2 linked regions of the Arabidopsis thaliana genome follow. The protein of the gene in region 1 interacts with the protein of each later gene in a pairwise test. Each region holds a gene or a part of one and is shown on either strand. Other genes may lie near its edges.

What was found. The genes of interacting proteins can lie anywhere in the genome.
Region 2: the proteins of NAC084 (region 1) and LRB1 interact in a two-hybrid assay, tested with the Arabidopsis thaliana proteins (one large-scale study listed by BioGRID).

What each region holds. Positions count from the first base shown.
Region 1 is NC_003076.8:4,515,816-4,519,934, forward strand, and holds NAC084 (NAC domain containing protein 84), read left to right. Parts: upstream 1-1,983; 5' UTR 1,984-2,361; coding exon 2,362-2,970; coding exon of another isoform or gene 2,971-3,000; exon of another isoform or gene 3,001-3,039; coding exon 3,040-3,219; 3' UTR 3,220-3,608; downstream 3,609-4,119. Other genes in the region: EXO70C2 (exocyst subunit exo70 family protein C2), read right to left, coding at 1-952.
Region 2 is NC_003071.7:18,993,699-18,999,198, forward strand, and holds LRB1 (BTB/POZ/Kelch-associated protein), read left to right. Parts: upstream 1-1,946; 5' UTR 1,947-2,412; coding exon 2,413-2,668; intron 2,669-2,793; coding exon 2,794-2,928; intron 2,929-3,065; coding exon 3,066-3,184; intron 3,185-3,284; coding exon 3,285-3,348; intron 3,349-3,575; coding exon 3,576-3,855; intron 3,856-3,933; coding exon 3,934-4,765; 3' UTR 4,766-4,974; downstream 4,975-5,500. UniProt on the Arabidopsis thaliana protein: May act as a substrate-specific adapter of an E3 ubiquitin-protein ligase complex (CUL3-RBX1-BTB) which mediates the ubiquitination and subsequent proteasomal degradation of target proteins.

The DNA.
Region 1 (4,119 bases):
GCGTGTCCCAGCTCATTTTCTGCACCTCGTCGATGCTAACTTTCTCAAACTCACAATCTTGTTTCAAAGTGCGCATCAAGATGTTCCTCCTCCCAACCAAATAAACCTCTCTACATTCCCATCCATACCCTCCTGCTTTCATCTTTTCCGCTATTTTCCTCAGCACCACAACCACATCCTCAGGGTAACCAGGGTATTCAATCTCCTGATCACCGCATTCCGGAACGAGCATCTGGTCGTGGTCTTGTGAGACCACCACATCGTTCTGGTGGTCTTGCTGATCGGCAGTGCTCCTCCTCTGGCTGTTGCTGTCATCGGTGACAACCACAGACTCTTTGGTCACAGATTCTTCTAAAATGATGCGGAATTCGTCTTCCAAGAAAGCCATTGCACGCTGCTGAATAGATCCCGCATGGTTGATCAAGGACTCATGATGGTCCAAACAGGACTTGGTGTTGAGCAATAGCCCCATAAGCTTTGAGACACGATCCACTGCCTCCAAAAGCGAAGACACCTCTTCAGGATCTTGGTACCACACAGTCTTAGGCTCACCAGAGTCATATTTGGAGAGTTTTTCCTCAAAAAGATCCAAGAATTTCCCAACAAACTGTGGGATCTGAAAGTAACCATCCTCTCCTTTCTCCTCGGTGCTATCTTTGTGCTCCTCCATGTGAAGGGAAAGAGTCGGGAGAAACTGATCGAGTTCTTCAGACAAAGACTCCAAGGTTTGACGAATCTCTGGTGCTTCTTCTCCTTGTGAAACCTTGTCGACATTGTTATCTCCTGGATCTTGATGATCTGTCTCCGCATTACCAACAACATCTACATTTTCGTTACTGATACCATCCTGATGATGCGCATCATCTGAGGGATGAGCATCCGAAACGACGTCGCCTTTCTCATCTCCCTTGGATTTGTCATCATGATCAGGGTCCTTGTCGTTCTTCTCCATGGTTTCTTATTATTTACGTAAAAAGCTTTAAAAATGGCGAAGTGGAATTGAGATGCAGAGGAAGGAGAGATTCATGTGTTCTGTTTTCGTTTAGACTTTTAGGATTTGTGGTTAGAGAGGCGATTGAGAGAGATGGTCGCAATGGCTGAATCGAAGAAGTAGGGGAGCCTTGTTTTTTTGGTGGTTGACCGTTGACTTTTTCTTTCATCCAATCCAACACCAGTAAAATCTATTTTTAACCAACACAAATTAAAACCTCGTAATTATTTAACTCTTTTTAATTTGTTTGTTTACAAAATGTATACATTACACGACGAAGTGAAATATAAACAATAATTTGAATAAAAAAAGCGGGTAACGTGGGAGTATGGTGCGCACGCATATTCCTCACATAACTCTATACGTGCATGCATAAACCATCCTTCATTTCTTCATGTTTTGTTTTCAAGCAATCATATATCTTAGCTATTTTTAATGAAAACTAGTCATCCAAGAGTCATCTAAAATATTAAAATGGACATGGTAATGAGAAATAGTAGCTGGTTTTGTGGAGGAAGGCCAATAAAAAGCCCACATAAAAGTTGGGCCCAATAATCTTCAATTTTATAGTTTCCAAATTCAAGTCTGCCTTTATTTTACTACTAGTAAAGTCAGTAGGAGGAACAACTAGGCAGTGTTGTGTCTCCTCTCTTCACATGCACGAATAAATGCAATAAAGCCGTTTATAGAAAGATAAGGCTATATAGTAATTGGTTTAGGCAGACGTGGGCTGGCTCGCAATTGTCAAAGGAGTTCCAACTTTTTACTGTGTTTGATAAATTAATGGTAACCAATTGGATGAAGAAGATCAAAATATTGAGAGAAAACAGAGAATGATGAAACGGTAATAATAAGTGAAAGGATCCAGAAGAGGGACCCTTTTGCAAATGGAGAAACCCCAAACTTGCACGTTTCTCTCTTCCTCTCATCTCTCTTTCTTTTTCTTAAGGAATAATATGACATTTTCTTCTCTATATTGTTTTTTTTTTACTTAATAAGTCAATGGACATCCCTCAAAAGCACCTTCCTTTTTTTTCCTATTCTTTCTCATCATCTTTCTTATTATGAACTAAAATAAATGTTCAGACAAAGGAGCCATTTCTACCATTTATAATTTTATATTACACAACTATATGTGTGTTTGTGTGTGTGTGTAGCCGTGGGGATTTATATATACATATAACATATATTGACAACCTCTACTACTGTCATTTAGCCTGCAAAGCCCACAAACAAAGGGCTACACAAGTCTTCCTTCTCTCTCTCCCTCTTCCTCTCTTTAGATGGAATAATGGATCAATGCTTGTAAAGGTTTGAAATTTGATCAAGTTTTGAAGAAGCAAATTGAAAAAGAAAAGAAAAGAGAAGACATGGAGGTGGAGAAGAGGATTGTAGTGAATGGAGGAATGAAATTGCCAATAGGATACAGATTTCACCCAACCGAGCAAGAGCTTATCCTTCATTACTTGCTCCCAAAGGCCTTTGCTTCTCCTTTGCCTTCCTCCATCATCCCTGTCTTTGACCTCTTCTTCTCTCATCCTCTTAGTTTCCCAGGTCTCTTTCTCTCTCTCTCTCTCTCTCTATGTTCCTTCTGTCAAAGCCTCTATGTGTGTATATGTCTCCTCGTTTTCCTCAACTGTTTTTTGTTCAAAATGGTCTATCTTATGTTTGGGTCTAGATCCGGGGTGTCTGATGCTAAAACTGAAGAAGTTTTGCTTTCAGGGGACCAAAAGGAGAAGCAGAGGTACTTCTTTTGCAAGAAGAGAGAAGTGTCAAGTAATGAGCATAGAATCAAGATTTCCTCTGGTGATGGTTATTGGAAACCTATTGGTAAAGAGAGACCAATCATTGCCTGTGGTAAAACATTTGGGATTAGAAGAACACTTGCTTTCTATGAAACAAACAAGTCTTCTTCTTATTGCAACAAAACTAGATGGAGCATGACAGAGTATTGTCTTGCGGGATTTGCGTCGGCTAAGGTACACAATAACTACTCTAGACTACTGTAAGAAAGACATTGGAACTTGTGATAATAATGGGTTAAACAGGTGTCTGGAGAATGGGCAGTGTACAATGTTTATGAGAGGAAAGGCTCAAAAGGAAGAAAACAGAGGAAATCAAGAGAGGGAGATGATGAAGAATTGAGATGCATCGACCATTTTACGGTTGGGTCAAATCATGAAACCGGTCCACCACCGCCTTCTCCTCCTACCTCAGCTGATGAGTAATATATATATCTCATAGGAGACGTTGAGATTGTGACAAGCTCCTAAACCCTAACCTACTATTCCACTTACGTTTCTGTCAAGCTATTTAAAAAATTTCAACGTCTTGATTTATTTGTTAGCGAAGTAAGTAAAGTAACATGGTTCTAGGGGAGCTCATTTTGATCTGAAACTGTTGAATTGTATGAGTTGAGATTTGCACTTTTGTTGGGCAAAACCAAATATATGTCAAACTTGTTGATTATTTTTACTTGAAGGTATTTTAAATTAACATTATCATGCAAGTAAAGTGATATATAGCTGAGGAATACGAAGTAAAGTTGAATTGAAAGGAGGTATCTATCTTTCTCATGGATGAGAACTTGATTCCTTTTCTTTTCATACCACATAAGAATCCATAGCATCTATGTATTTTTAAGAAACAATTGTATAGACTGTTATATTATATCAATAAGTATGGAAATTAATTTATTAATATGAGATGGAGATGCATTTTGTATTAAGGTATAGCAAGTTGAAAAAGTTATATAAATTGGTGTGTTATTTATGTATATATATGTGGATGGATGAGTTATATATACAAACAAATTGGTGTGTTGGAAATAACAAAGAGACAGAAGCAAGAGTTGAAATTGAAATTGAAATGAGTGGAAAAAATGAAAGAAGCCATCGCATGGGGTGTCGAGAAGCTAAAGTTCTTCGTGTCGAACCATATTTTTTAATCAAAACATACAGATACATTTATTGTCATTGACACGTATTTTAAATTTAAACTCTATCAGAAGCCAACATATTTTCTTAAATATGATATGTGTTTGACAAACCAAATGATAACATGCGTGTGAGTTGTAGAAAGAATCATCGTAGATATAATTGATACGAATACATTTGTTTGAGTGAAAT
Region 2 (5,500 bases), on another chromosome or scaffold:
TTTTATAATTGATTTTGAAAATTCTGAAGTTAAAAACTTGGTTAAGAGATTGAAATTTAGGCAATATGCAATGGTGGAATCTTAACTTGGAGTTCTTAAAAAGAAAATTTGAAAAAAAAAATAGAAACATTATAATTTTAAAAAACTTAATAGTTATTACAACTCATAAAATTTAAAACATACATGACATAAAATTTTAAACAAATATGACAAACAATTCTATTTAATACTTAAGTTATCTAAAAATTAAGATTAATTAAATTAAAATATTATATTTAAGACCTAATTTATCTAAGAATTAACTTAAAAAACATTAGATTTGGCTCTTATATAAGAGCTATTCTTAACCATTAATTGAATTATAACATTAAATTTAAGATCTACTTTATCTAAAAACTAACCTAAAAAACTATCAATAATGATGGTCTTACGAATGCCTAGATTCTCTTCAATATACAAAAAGTACGGTTTAGTTATTGTTTGGACATTTGAAATCTAACTAATTCTCTTTTTAGTCTTAATGCAATGGAATTGCAAATACTCCATAAACCATAGTGTTGCACCCTAACCGTATCTCTCTCTAAAAGAGAATCTAGTCAACAAGATTATGTTTAATCTCTAATTAATGACAATAAGATTTACTGCCAAAATAAATAAATAAATAATAATAATAAGATTTACTGCCATTTATTCTTCTATATTTTTCAATTTTTTATTTACACTTGTTCCATAATCGTCCCAAGGAGTAGACTAGGGTTGATGCTCTTTCATCTATAAAACGACTTAACACAACATGTTCTTTCACATCATCATCATAAGCCTCAACAATCCATCACCATACATATTAGATTCTCCCTCTTTCCATAGTTTATTTTTGGTTCGTTTTATTGTAAAAAGATATCAAACTCTTTTTGGGGGACATTCGTTCTTCAAGTGTAACAGAAGGAGCTCCCTTCCTCCAAAACGAAGAGGACAAGATTTGAGGAACTAAAATGCAGAATCTAAGAGTTCATGTCTTCCTCATAGAGAGTGCGCGGTGTTAAAAGCTTGAAGAAAGCACACTTTAAGGGGATTGCACGACCTCTTAGATTCTCCCTCTTTCTCTACATATCATTCTCTTCTCTTCGTTTGGATTGAAGGGAGCTCCTTTTCTTCTTCTCTTAATTAGTCTCTGTTCTTCAAAACTTGGTTTCGATCTAACTTGTTTTCTTTTTCTCTAGTGCATTTTTTTTTTCAGGTTGTCATGTTTATTTGCAGGTGTTTGTGGTTGATGCTTGCATGGAAGCAATATTAATGTTGTTTATTTACGAGAAGACGTTCGTGTGCCAATTTGAAAATATGATATTAATGGAAATACAGATTAAAACTGACAAATGTATAAATATTTCTTGTTCCTTGTTTTAATTTTAACATTAGTCGTGTGTTTGTCGTAAATACGAAGGGGACATTTCACCTAAAAAAAGAAAAAAATATATTCATCAAAACTGGTCTTGGATACGTTTTTAGTTAAAACAAGAACAATAATAAAGTTAGGTTTAACTTCGATCAGATCGAAACAAGTACACTATAATTGTTTTGGTTTGAGAAAATATACCATCGATGGTTTCAAGAAATAATAGCAGCTGGGTTGCTTGTAGTCGATACGTTAAGTCGTATCATCTCAAATGATCCCTAGTAGTACACAACATAGTCAACTGGTTTGTCATGTGTTGGCCTACGAAGAAATGTATACCGGCCGGATTTCAATTTATAAATTAGTCCTTTTTTTTTTGTCAAGTTATCATTGCATAGCCAAGTTTCACTCGGTCAAAATCTAATTAACAAAGTCTGTAAAACGTTGAAGTAATTGTATTTTATTAAAAGAAAACTCCAAATTAGACTTTGATTCCAACGAATATTTAACGACATAAAAGGCATTGCCGTTTGTTGAACGAGTTGTCTTCTTACCAAATTTGACGCTTTCCAACTAAATACACTCCTAATTTTGCCTATTACCTTTTTCCTCCTCTAATTAAGTAAATGCTAAATTTCCCCCAAATACTAAAAATCGAATCCGATAAGTCAAAATCAAAATCGTACCTACGCGATTTATGCAAAATACCGGAAAAAGAACCAAAGTGCTTATTACAATCAAAAGACCAAACCGGTTAAACAATTAGTTAGGCTGGCATTAACGAACCTCTTTGTCTTTAATTAGCCTTTATCCGTCACCGCCCTGTTACCATAACCGTTCAACGTCGACCCGCTCTTTGTTTCAGAAAAAAAAAACAGAGAAAGACTTTTTTAGTGTTTCTTTGTCATTTTCGTTCCTCAAAAAAACCTTTTCGAATTTGACCCTTATTGTTATCCTGATTCTTCTGCTCGGTTCTCGCCGGAGAGAAGACACGGAGAAGAGGGTTTTCGAAAAGGAGGATGAGAGGTTCCAATAACACCGATCTATTTGACCCTAAGACGGAGATGGATTCCAATTTCTCTCGCCATGGTTCTTCCTCCGAAGGTGATTTTGGTTTCGCTTTCAATGACAGTAACTTCTCCGATCGTTTGCTCCGGATCGAGATCTTGGGTGGGCCTTCGGATTCTAGGTCTGATGCTGAAGGATGTACGAGTATTGCCGATTGGGCTCGTCATCGCAAGAGGAGAAGAGAGGACAACAAGAAGGACAATGGTGGTACGTTTGATTCCCTATCGGTTGGAATCTCAGATTTTGTTGTTGTTTTTATGAATTGTTCTTATGGTTGGTTTAGGGCTTTTGGGTTTAAATGTTTAAGAAACTTATACGTTTTGCATTTCCAGTTGCGATTTCAGACATTGTGGCATGTGCTGAAGAACAGATTTTAACCGATAACAACCAACCTGATATGGATGATGCTCCTGGTGGTGATAATCTTGACGATGAAGGAGAGGCAATGGTTGAAGAGGCTTTATCAGGTACCGTTCTAAATTTCACATTGTCTCTCGAGTGACTGGGTTTGAATTTGTGATACTTAACAATTTTCAGAAGAGCGTTTTTTGTTGAAGTCATTTGTCTGAAACGTGATGGCTTTGTTTATTAATGGTTTTTGTAGGTGATGATGATGCATCTAGTGAGCCAAACTGGGGTATTGATTGTTCTACTGTTGTTAGAGTTAAAGAACTGCATATTAGTTCTCCTATCTTGGCCGCAAAAAGCCCCTTTTTCTACAAGGTATTAACCTTTTTTCTTCTTCTATGTTCTTATTGTTTGCTCTTGTTCATCTCGCATGTAATGCTATCTTTTGCTTCTTGTTTTCCTTACCCTGTTGTAGCTGTTTTCTAATGGAATGAGGGAATCAGAACAAAGACATGTAACCCTTAGAATTAGTGCACAAGGTACGACAATTTAAGTCAAGCTTTTAATTCATTTCTGCTATTCTCCAATCTCTTTATATTGGCTTCAATTCTCTACTAGCTCTCTGTTGGCTTCTTCTTGTTTTGGATTCTTTATGCCTCTTGTATTAACTCAGTTGCTGACTTTGATTTACATATGATATACGATATTAGCTTTAAGGGAGTCCACATTGTTGATTTCTCATGCTCTACTTTTATGTGTATTGTAGAGGAAGGTGCTTTGATGGAGCTTTTAAACTTTATGTATAGCAACTCTCTAAGTGTCACAACAGCACCCGCTTTATTAGATGTTCTTATGGCTGCTGACAAGTTTGAGGTTGCTTCCTGTATGAGGTATTGTAGTAGACTACTGCGAAATATGCCCATGACCCCTGATTCTGCTTTGCTCTATCTTGAGCTGCCCTCTAGTGTTTTAATGGCTGAAGCAGTGCAACCTCTAACCGATGCAGCAAAGCAGTTCCTTGCCTCGCGCTACAAGGATATTACCAAGTAAGACTCTCCAGTGGTTTGAAATGCATTTACTCTAGTGTTGTATAATTCTTGTTCATGTGTTACCATCTTGTACAGGTTTCATGATGAGGTTATGGCCTTACCATTGGCTGGAATAGAGGCGATACTATCGAGCGATGATCTCCAAATTGCTTCTGAGGATGCTGTTTATGATTTTGTCTTGAAATGGGCAAGGGGACAGTATAGTTCATTGGAAGATCGTAGAGAGATTCTGGGTTCACGCCTTGCACTCTACATCCGCTTCCCATACATGACGTGTCGAAAGCTGAAAAAGGTACTAACGTGCAGTGATTTTGAGCATGAAGTAGCATCAAAGCAAGTATTAGAAGCGCTCTTCTTCAAAGCAGAAGCCCCACACAGGCAACGCATCCTCGCAGCTGAAGGATCGGACTCCATGAACCGCCGTTTCATAGAGAGGGCTTACAAATACAGACCCGTAAAAGTGGTGGAGTTTGAGCTTCCTCGCCCGCAATGTGTAGTGTACCTGGACTTGAAGCGAGAGGAATGCGCAGGACTATTCCCTTCAGGAAGAGTCTATTCTCAGGCTTTCCACTTAGGAGGTCAAGGTTTCTTCCTCTCAGCACACTGCAACATGGACCAGCAAAGCTCGTTCCACTGCTTTGGGCTATTCCTCGGAATGCAAGAGAAAGGGGCTGTGAGTTTTGGTGTGGACTACGAATTTGCGGCAAGAGATAAAAGTACAAAGGAAGAATACGTAAGCAAATACAAAGGAAACTACACATTCACAGGGGGGAAAGCGGTTGGTTACAGAAACCTTTTCGGGATTCCATGGACTTCGTTCATAGCCGAGGACAGTCAACATTTCATCAATGGCATTCTCCATCTCAGAGCCGAGCTCACCATTAAACGTTCCTCAGACCTGCACTGACTGTTTTCTTCTCTCTCTCTCTCTATGTCGTCACATTTAAGTTGTATAATCTCGTTATGTAGCAGCTCTAACCACGAGTGTCCTTTGTACAATAATTGCCTAAGGAGCAAAAGTATGGCTTAAAGAGTACCTCATTCTGTAAATTCTTTGATTGGATTTTTTTACTTTTCTATATGGGTCTTTATAAATAGTCCAAGATAGAATTTGGGCCTAGCTTTTGAGGTTAGTCTTAAAATATGGGCTCAAGGCCTACTACGATGCGTAATGATGAAGCTAAATTGCCTATAGTGTGAACATTAGGCTTTTATATTCAAAGTTCAAACAATGCGGCTATAGCAATGGTACATCGAGGAAATAGAATGAAGTGACAAGGATAATTTAGGAAATGAGGATAGAGGAATTGAGTCCTCGTCACATGGGGCCCACATAAATGCGTAAGTAAGACTATCCGCTTACCAGACGGACACGTCATTTTGTCGGGACACGTTTGAGCCGTTGGATGATTAATCTCCTTTTCTGACTTATCGACCCCACTTTTTTTTTCCACTACAAAATATTGATGGCCACGTCAGATGATTCGAAGTTATATAAAACACACGTTTTTATTGCAGCTTAACCGTCGATTTTTTTCTAATCGAGAAACCGAGATCAACGGTCTATATTCAAAGCTGATGTGGTCTGTACCTTTGCTTACGTCACCGAAAACCTAAGTTGAATAATACTAGTACTAGTATT